2 linked regions of the Arabidopsis thaliana genome follow. The protein of the gene in region 1 purifies or fractionates together with the protein of each later gene. This does not show direct contact. Each region holds a gene or a part of one and is shown on either strand. Other genes may lie near its edges.

Region 1 (5,516 bases):
TTTTGGTTTCTACAGATAGTTTTCTATGTGTTTAGTCCTTCTCTTGTTGCAAGCAGTTTATCTGAGACTATTACATACGAAAGCATGGTGAAAATGTAAGTGTTTTTTATTCAAAGAACTGATTCTTCTTGAAAATGAAATGTTGATTTTGTTGGGGTCATTTTCAGGTGGTTCATGCCACTTAATGTTTTGCTAACATTCATCATTGGTTCGTTTTTGGGTTGGATTGTTATCAAAATCACTAAACCTCCTTCGCATCTCCGTGGCATCATCGTTGGTTGTTGTGCTGCTGGTAACTTTAATATCATCTTACAAAAGCTGTTTTCATTTTCTTAGATTCAGTGATGAGATTGTGTAATCCAACAGGGAATTTGGGGAATATGCCACTCATTATCATCCCAGCTATATGTAATGAAAAGGGAAGTCCTTTTGGAGATCCTGAGTCTTGTGAGAAATTTGGACTTGGTTATATTGCACTCTCTATGGCGGTATGTCACCATTTCTTAACTACTTCTTATGCTTCTCTACTAAAGTTTTTTTTTAATGCCAATACAAGTCAAAAACGTTTTGTGATGTATATCAGATTGGAGCCATTTACATATGGACTTATGTATACAATCTTATGCGGATGCTAGCAAATCCTGCTGGAGAAACCGCAATAAACAGTACCTCGTCTACAATGCCACTGATTTCTCCCAAAGTCGAAGTTGCGGAACAGGTATTAGTCTAAACTTTTCCTTCTTATATTCTTGTTAGCCAACTTACTGATTTTGAGAGAATGTATATGTGACAAGGTTGGGACTTGGGGCAAGGTCAAACAAAGAGTGTGCTCTGTAGCAGAGAAAATCAATCTACGAACAATATTTGCTCCTTCAACTATTGCAGCGGTTTGTTTCAATGTTCCCTTGAACTAAACGACTGCTATCTAGCTTCTGTATGTTCTTACTAGTTAAGCAACTAATCCTCTTTCTCTTCAGCTTATCGCGCTTGCGGTTGGGTTAAATCCTTTACTACGGAAGCTACTAGTCGGTAACACAGCTCCACTTCGAGTGATTGAGGACTCAGTATCTCTATTGGGGTATTCTACAACATATTAAAAATCTCACTTGTCAGTGATAATTAACAATGCTTACTTGAGTAGCTTAATTTTCTTGAAGGGACGGGGCGATTCCTGTTCTGACTCTGATTGTTGGAGGAAACCTTCTCAATGGTAGATAAACAATAACAAATGGCTGCAGAAACTTTTTTTCCTAAGACAAAACCTTAAATCTCTGTTCTCTCTCTTATAATAATCACAGGTCTGAGAGGTTCAGGAATAAACAAGTCAGTCATAATGGGTGTGGTGGTTGTGCGTTACTTGTTGCTGCCAATATTAGGAGTTTTCATAGTACGAGGAGCGCATTACTTGGGTTTGGTTACATCCGAACCGCTTTACCAGTTTGTTCTTCTGCTTCAGTATGTCGTTCCCCCAGCGATGAATCTTGGTTCGTTCTTCAGACTCACAAAAATACTACCAAAACATGTCATCACACTGTCTTTCTCATAAACTCACTTGACCTTTTGGCAGGTACAATCACTCAACTATTCGGATCAGGAGAAAGTGAATGCTCTGTGATTCTATTCTGGAGTTATGCCTTGGCTTCAGTTTCTCTCACTGTCTGGCCAACATTCTTCATGTGGCTCGTAGCCTGAACATCCACACACACACACTTACACAAATGGGAAACAGTTGCAAATCTTGCTACTTTGAAATATTAGAGAAACTGATATATTCTTTCATTGATAAAAATGTTGGAAGGTTATACAATTGGGAATAGAGACCCAATCAAAAGGGAATATTGAAACTTCAATCATCCTAAGATAGCAGATAAATGCTTGAGACAAGCAAAGACAGAGATAGAACAAAATATCCTATTGAGAGTTTATAAAGAGAGCCTCAGAGAGAGGACTTGTCAGGCAAATCATCGAAGTAAGGATGCTCCATAGCTTTCTTTGCTGAGATTCGTTTTGCTGGCTCGTACTCCAGCATTTTCTGTGCACAAAGAGAAACACAAATTAGTCTCAGCAGAGTGATTATCTACTAATCAAGCAAGGTCTGAGAGGTGTGTTAGACACTAGAGACTTACAGATAAGAGATCAAGTCCAGCCTCGTCGAGGTTTGGCACAGCTGTGGAGAGACTCAACGGTTTCCATTGCGGGTATTCATGCCAGTCCTTGAGTTTGCTTACTCCAGGCCAAACTTCTTCGTTTGGTGTTCCCAACAACCTGAGTTTGACAGGAAAGAAAGAAACAGAACAACCAAGTTAGCGAATGTCATGTTTGTGTCTTAAAGGTAAAGATGAACACAAAGACTTACCTGAATATACGGAGGAGCTGTTGGAGCTCAGAGTCTCCCGCAAAGATTGCTTGCTTGGTCACTAGTTCAGCTACACATCAAAAAGGAAACAAAACTGTTAGTTCTTGCTAGTGACATTGAACTGAAACCAGTGAAACTGTAAGAGAAGATTTTGTACCAAAAATACAGCCAACAGACCACATATCCACTCCAGTAGAGTAATGGGTTGCTCCAAGAAGAACTTCCGGAGCTCTATACCATAGAGTTAGAATCTGTTGCAAATGAAATCATGGGGGTAAAATCATCCTGAGTTATAACTCCAGATAAACTAAGATAGAATTAAAAAAAAAAAAAAAAACTAGAATGAAACAGGACTAATGTTTCATCAACGTAGACTTATATACCTCATGTGTATACTTTTTCATTGGGAGAGTGAAGGCTCTGGCTAATCCAAGATCTGCTATTTTGAGCGTCATTGTCTTCCGGTCCATCAAGAGATTGTGAGGCTTAAGATCCCTGTAATGAAACCAAGACAAGTAGGATTAGAGATCTGTGTCAAAATGGGTTATCTCAAGTCATAGTTCTTCCAAAACAAAGACGATTTTTACCTGTGCAACACTCCATGACCATGGCAAAAAGCCATGCCTTTGCATAACTGGTACATCAAGCACTGCAATTCAAGAACATGTTTCTCTTAGCTTAAAGGGGCTTATCGGATGAGAGAAAAAAAGCAGAACAAAATCTCCAAATATCCAAACCTTGACAGTATTTTGTGGAATGTTCTGTCCAGCTTGACGAAAGCTTCTGATGAATTTCTTGAGATCAGTATCAACATACTCGAAAACAAGGTAAAGTACAGTTTTTCCTTCTTTGTTTATTCCTTGCTTAACATCCATCAACCTGTAGAAGAAGATAATCATCATAACAATAATCTCTCAGTAGAAATGCAATCACCACAAAAATAGTTGAAACTGAGATCACAACACAGAGCTTCTACTTTGACATTTTCTAGTATTCGGATAAGATAAGGAACCCATTTTATCTCGATCGGACCACACAACAAATAGCAAACTGAAACTAAGATCTACCAGTAACACCTAAGAGCGACACTAAGCGCGATTTGCAGGAAGAATCAGAGTCATCAAATCAATTGAGACATCAATTAATCGGGACTAAACCCTAGAAATCGAAATTGAGTCCTAAATCCACAATCAAAACCAGTAAATCGGAGAATTTCAGAAAGTGACTGAACCGAATCAGAAATGTAAAAGGAAATCGAACCTAACGATGTGAGGATCACGAGCGAGCATACGCAAGATAGAGATCTCGCGAAGAGTAGTGGGAGGAACACCTTCTTCATCCTCATGGAGACGCGTCTTCTTCAAAGCAACGATCATCCCAGTAGCTTTCTCTCTTGCTCTGTAAACTTTCCCATAAGTCCCTTCACCTACTTTCTCAAGCTTTTCAAAGGCTTCCATGGCGGAAACAGCGGGTTTAACTCCATTGTTGTCCATCTCTATCAATCTCTCAAGACAACTCTTCTTCTTCCTTCGCGAATCTCAGATTTTGTTTTCAATTTGGGGAAAGAGAGAGGAAATGTAATTAGATTCGAGAATTGGTTTAAATAGGAAGGAGATTATTAAAAAGGTATATTCCCTCTTTGAGCACTCATGTTTTTTCAACGGTTCTTTTTTTCTTTTTTCAAAATTCAAAACTGGAGCGTCGTCATTAGTTTTTTTTTTATGTTCTGTTTTTAAGTGTGACGTGGAAAAAGTGAATAACCAATGTTTGTCAACATCCGGAGACGGTTTAGCTACACGAAAGGAAAAAAAAAAGGGGAGAGTTTGTTTTTTGGTCAAAAGGTGTGAGTTTGTTGTTAGATTCGACAAAACACACAAGATGGGCCTTTATTGGGCAGGACGAAAAATTGACAAGCCAGAGAAGAACAAGTTCTTAAACAACATTGTCTTAAATGATTTTTTGTCCCAAAAGAAATAGTAATATACAACTAATTTTTAGATTTGAAATACATAAACCATAATAGTGCAATGATAAAAGCAAATGGGAAACAAACATTCTTATAAATCAGGACATTTTTTGTATAATCTATAGGCCCTAAATGTTTACTTGGTGGTATCAATGAGTCCCATAATCGAATTTATATAGGAGATGCGTCGGTCATTAGAAGCAACAAGCACCTTCTGTTGCTCATCCTCCTCTACAAAGAACAAGGAGGGCGTCAATTTATAGAAATCTCGGACGCAATTGGGCCAAGCAAGGGTTGACACCAAAACTCCCCAACTGTTAGCTTCCATGTCGTACACATGAAGAACACTTGCCAAAGGTTCTAAACCCATCTTTTTCACCCTCACCACAAGACACTTGCCATCGTACATAGCTATGTTCCAATATACAAGCGTTTCTTCCTCGATAGATATGTTCTTGATCCGCCTTGTGAGTGTCCATTTGTGATTCTCGACAAGTGTGTAAACGGAGATTGTTTCTATCGTCCCCGAAATTAGGGTCAGGCGATTGATCTTAACGCTTTCCGCGAAAAGTAGCTTCGTATCCGGTTCCCGATGAAATATGGAAGGAATCAAGCATGCTTGCTCTGTCTCGGGATTAAAAGACATGATGCTGCCATCGTTTCTCAGCCAGTGAAGAGTGTTGTCCAAGTAAACAGGTTTCATCCGCGTAGTGAGATCACTTTTTGAGCTAGTGGTGATACTCGTTTCCGATAATCTCCAAGAGTCTCCTTCGTTGATCTCGAATCCGTATACGTTTTCCATCTCGAGTATGCCCACGATCTTGAATCTCTTGGTTGTTAGATTTCGATTTACCGCAAATCCAACGCACATCGCTCGTTCCGTACAAGCAACATTACCTCCAGGATAACTAATTCCGCTAAGACCTTTAAGTCCACCATTAACTATCATTGGTATAAGCTTTGATCCAGAATGATCCAGGATTCGAAACCTTTTTGTTAAGGGATTTGCAACAAAGAGACAACCAATGTACAATAGGAGAAGACCAGAGCATGAGCCGAAAATGTAACAATCCGCACTACCATCAAACAGTTCTACTCCATTTCCCGGTGACATATAATCGCATGAAGAGACCAAAGGATGGCAACATACATAAGTAGCGCCATAGCTACCAAGGTTAAACAAACTAGGTCTGA
Region 2 (5,069 bases), on another chromosome or scaffold:
ATAGAATAAATTATAATAATTTGACCCGCGGGTGAATACGATGATCTGATGACCTATAAGGTAGTCCGGTTCGCTATCTGGATCGGGTTAACATTGACCCTATATAAACCAAGCATCCACCAACAAACTTAGTTGACTAAAGAGTCTCTGGACCTAGAGGTCAAGAGTCCAATTTTCGTTTGGGAGATGGTCACATTACATCTTTTGGTCTCTCTAGCATCAGGGAGTGTACGAAATTAGGTTTACAACCTCTTTGATCATTTAAAAAACTTTTAGACAACAATAGATTTAGAGGCTACTTACATTTGTTTCTAAAGAATTTCCAATTTTGATGATCCTAATGGAAAAAAGGTTTGAAGGTTAGGGACTTACGGTTTACAAACTAAGAAACAAAATGGTTTGTAAATTTTATTGATACATATAACTACTATATTTTTCATGTAAAATAACAATAACGTTGGCGATGTTGCAAAATCGTTTTCGTTGGTCAATTCTCTTACTGGTATTTTAAACGCGGCCAAATTTTAGGGCATTGCTTTAAGATAAACAACAACTAACAAAAATTTACAGAATAAAATCAGATGCCCAAAAAAGAGAGCAAAATATGAGTTCATACTTCACATAACACTAAAAGGCTTAACCAAACAAACAAGGGAAATAAGCAAAATGATGTCCTAAAGAACGCAACCAGAATCAAGTCATAATGTAACTTCACTGTAGAAATCATAAATCTTGTTTCTTTTTGTGGGCTTAAGATAAAATTCTCTCACTTAGCCATCATGACTTTGACGAATTCTTCATAGTTAATCTGACCATCGCCATCAACATCCGCTTCTCGGATCATCTCATCAACTTCCTCATCGGATAGCTTCTCACCGAGATTTGTCATGACATGTCGAAGCTCTGCTGCAGATATGAAACCATTCTGGTCTTTATCAAAAACCCTAAAAGCTTCCTTGAGCTCTTCCTCTGAATCAGTGTCCTTCATTTTCCTTGCCATCAGGTTCAGGAACTCCGGGAAATCAATGGTCCCGTTCCCATCTGCATCAACTTCATTGATCATGTCTTGAAGCTCAGCTTCTGTTGGGTTTTGCCCCAGAGACCTCATCACGGTTCCGAGCTCCTTGGTGGTGATACAACCTGCAACCAGATTCAGGTATAATAAGCTTTTAGAGACAGACTTATATCCACAGTCAACAAACAAAAGCCATTGTATTTCTTATTTCGACTGATGAAGATCTGGTAAGTAAAAAAGAGAATGATTTTTTTTCATTCAACAAAGTCCTACTAAGTTAACAAAGAAACTCCATTCATACAAACTAAAAATAATCACTCTTCCAAGTCCTACCTAAAGTGTTAGGGTAAAAGAAATATTCTGTGTTTATTCCGTCTTTCCTTATGTGTGTGTACTAGCAAATCTAGAATCATGTGTATTAAAAAGACACAATATTCTTCTCCAAATCTCTTTACATGGTATCAAAGCCAGAATCAAAACCCTAGCCACTTCGTTCTATTGAACCCACATCTCACCGTGCAAAGGCCAATAATGCACAACAGAATTTTGCAAGTTTTTCACCAATCAAAGCAGAATACATTCCTGATATCTACAACATCAATCCTTTTTTCAACAATTAAACTACTCAAAATCTCAACATATGGATAAATTTCCCAAAACATTTCATTGCTGCATCACGAGACTGAACCAGAACAAGAACAAAACACAGCGTGAGTCATGAATCGCTATCGAATTAGCCAAAAGCTAGATCGTTCACAAGTGAAACAAACACGAATCATACAGAAAACTGAAGAAGATCATAAATCTGTCAAACAAATTCCAGAACTCGTATACGGACGGAGTAATCATCGGGGAAAAAACGCAAAGATCTGGGAAAGAAACATACCATCACCATCCTTATCGAAGAGGCTAAAGGCTTCCTTGAACTCTGAGATCTGGTCATCGGTGAGCTGATCCGCCATTTTCCTTCTTACCTTTTTTTAGAAATCCCAGATTTTTTTTTTGCTACTGAATATATTATTTGCCTCTCTAATAATAATTCAGCAAGAGAGCTTATAAAAGAGAGAGAGCCCAACAACTTATGGTTGGGCCTCTAAAGATTTACTAGCTAATTCAGTAATTCTTATGATTTTTTTGTCTTTTTAGTTTAGTTTTTTAAGACAATTATAAAGAAAACTATAACCTTTGCAGTTAATTTAGACATATATACTAGGTAATAAATCTATCAAATTAACAATTATTAATTTTTTTTGACTATTTTCAAAACTGATTTAGTAGAATATTTTACAGTATATCAATTAAACTTTTGACATTATTTTTTTCATTTAAATATTTAATTATAAAAAGTTTTTAAACTAGGATAGATATTTAAGGATATTAATTAATTTGGAAAATTAAAAAAAAACTTATAATATGTTGAAAAAAATAATATATGGATACATATGAAATGATTAGAGTATCCTCTAAATTTACGTTACAGAAACGGATATGTATAAGCAAAAATTTTACATGAATACACTTTTTTGTAGAAATAGTTAAACTTGAATCGATTTTACATGTTTTGTTTTAATTTAAATGGATACTTAATAAAAAAGTTAGTCAATATCTCTACATTTTTTCCAAGTAAACTGTTTTTAAATTTTTTTAGTTTTTATATTAAAAACAAAAAGAGTGTTCGATCATTTATATGAGTCTTATTATTCCACACCTCTAGAATATATATGTACTCGCTACAAATGAGTCTAATGAGCTTTTGCCGTTGATGATTTGTTCAATGTTCTAATAATTGTCATCAGTCTATAACCATTGACACTACACAAAACGGTTGCAATGTATGACTTTTGTTGAACTTTGTAGTGACTAGTAAGTAAGTGAGAGTGAAGAAGCAACGGTTTTTCTTTCTTACAAAAAACTCATATATACTTCAGAGTTAAGACTTAAAAATATATAATAGTGGATAAAATCAGTTACAACTATTTTTTTTTTTAAATGGTCTGTAACAAAAACATAAGAATTCATCGATTACTTAGAAACAACTCAAATGAGAAAGAAAAAAAAACACCTATTGATTAGGTCCATATCTAGTCAAAATCTGAATACTCAAATATTTTGTCATTACATTAATTAACCCAAAATAATTGACCAAAAAAGGCAAAAAACATAATTTTATTTCTTAAGAAAATTGAGGAGCTTAACAAAGGAAAGAAACGTATAATTGTCCCATACGAAAAAAAAAAATTAAAAAACAAGTGTCCATTAAAGTGAGAGAGTCCCTACACGAAATTAAATAAGTTTTTGTCTGTTAGCTACAAATTTCTCTACAATCATCGTATCTCTTTCGTCGCATCTCTATCTCTTGTTGCTCCTTGTATTAGCCCATCATTTTTTTATTTCTCCTGCGAATTCTCCGCCATAGATTTTCTTTTGAATTTCTCCTGCTAACTCTTGAGCTCCCCAAAGGCGGCTACATCGGTTTTGTCACCTCTACTCGCTCACTTTTCTCCGTCCAATTTTGCAGGTTTGTTGGTCGATTCTCCATGTTTTTGCTTCGAATTCGATGAGTAATTCGGTAACTTAGAGAGTTGCTTACGCTTTTGGTTTATGTGTAAAGTGTGCATAATCTCTATATTATATGATGGTGATGATGATTAGTTCTGTAGCTAACTCGAGAATCTCGCTTCAATTGTGTATCAGTACAAATATTGGTTTAGTGGAGAATTTTGGATTTGTAGATGCTTGCTTGAACAATATATGATTTATCTAAGTCATGATTCTAGAGATTTAGGCTGTTTTTGGAGTAATTAAAAAGGATGATCGGAATTTCCGGAGAAAATCTCCGCTGCTAGATTTGTCATTGCCTTGTGGATTTTCAGCTGTTTTTACGCTTTGTCTTTATTGAATTCTGTGGCATATTACTGTTCTTTTCTTGACGGTTTCTTTCACTTTTTTTGCATTTAGTTTCCGTGAATTGAGCAAAGAAACACTATCTTGCCTGTTGTTGTGTTGGATTCTTTTCATGGAATCATTCTTATATGCGAGATTACATTTTCCAAAAACAGCTTTTGAAGATCAAGAGGTGAACATTCGGAGTGATGAATCGGCCAAAGGTTCAGCGTCGTGTTGGAAAGTATGAGGTTGGAAAGACGCTTGGACAAGGCACTTTTGCGAAAGTTCGGTGTGCTGTTAATACTGAGACAGGAGAACGCGTGGCTCTCAAAATACTTGATAAGGAGAAGGTTCTTAAGCATAAGATGGCTGAACAGGTAACTCTCTTTCCTAATAAGATAATATACTAGATGCATCTTCAGTCCAAAAGTATGATGTGTGTCTTTCCTGATTGTTTTTACAGATAAGGAGAGAAATTTGTACTATGAAGCTGATAAACCATCCAAATGTAGTGCGGCTGTATGAGGTATATCTCCATTTTTCTATTTGTGTCTCTATTTTTCTTTGGCTTGCTTTAGAGCTCTTTGTATGTGAAGCCAATGTGCTGAAGCTAACTTTTAAGGAAATGATTGATACCGTTCCAGGTTTTGGCGAGCAAGACTAAGATATATATTGTTCTAGAGTTCGGCACTGGTGGAGAGCTTTTTGACAAAATTGTGAGTTTTCCTTAATCCCTCCCAATGGATTTATAATTGTTACTTGATCCATCTATTGTTGTTTGAACATGTATGCTAAGCTCTGGTCAATCTTGATAGATGTTCCTGTTTCTTGCAATTGAAACGTTCTCTTATCTCTGATGTAGATTTAACCTTTGTAGATTTAACCTTTGCATTATGTGTAAACTTGTGAAGGTACATGATGGGCGCTTGAAAGAAGAGAATGCACGGAAATATTTTCAGCAGCTTATTAATGCAGTTGATTACTGCCATAGCAGGGGAGTGTACCACCGGGACTTAAAGGTATGATATTTTTTGGTTTATGCCCAAGTTTGCAGTATGTTTCTTTAATGTGCAGATAATTGATACTTACAATTTCACTGCAGCCGGAAAACTTGCTTCTAGATGCTCAAGGAAATCTGAAAGTCTCTGATTTTGGATTGAGTGCGTTG

Evidence for each region. Proteins that work in one complex are often made in the same cells at the same time.
Region 2: the proteins of CDKB2;2 (region 1) and CAM6 purify together in Arabidopsis thaliana (affinity purification with western blotting, with the first as the bait; one study listed by BioGRID). This does not show direct contact.

Annotation. Positions count from the first base shown.
Region 1 is NC_003070.9:7,290,816-7,296,331, forward strand, and holds CDKB2;2 (cyclin-dependent kinase B2;2), read right to left. Parts: upstream 3,932-5,516; 5' UTR 3,850-3,931; coding exon 3,617-3,849; intron 3,236-3,616; coding exon 3,094-3,235; intron 3,006-3,093; coding exon 2,944-3,005; intron 2,852-2,943; coding exon 2,740-2,851; intron 2,608-2,739; coding exon 2,514-2,607; intron 2,427-2,513; coding exon 2,357-2,426; intron 2,266-2,356; coding exon 2,127-2,265; intron 2,033-2,126; coding exon 1,937-2,032; 3' UTR 1,693-1,936; downstream 1-1,692. Other genes in the region: AT1G20925 (Auxin efflux carrier family protein), read left to right, coding at 16-95, 168-292, 367-488, 584-718, 795-887, 978-1,078, 1,158-1,210, 1,299-1,484 and 1 more; AT1G20940 (F-box family protein), read right to left, coding at 4,459-5,516.
Region 2 is NC_003076.8:7,213,974-7,219,042, forward strand, and holds CAM6 (calmodulin 6), read right to left. Parts: upstream 2,080-5,069; 5' UTR 1,978-2,079; coding exon 1,902-1,977; intron 1,141-1,901; coding exon 767-1,140; 3' UTR 501-766; downstream 1-500. Other genes in the region: CIPK26 (Ca2+regulated serine-threonine protein kinase family protein), read left to right, coding at 4,108-4,278, 4,365-4,427, 4,546-4,617, 4,813-4,920, 5,004-5,069. UniProt on the Arabidopsis thaliana protein: Calmodulin mediates the control of a large number of enzymes, ion channels and other proteins by Ca(2+). Among the enzymes to be stimulated by the calmodulin-Ca(2+) complex are a number of protein kinases and phosphatases.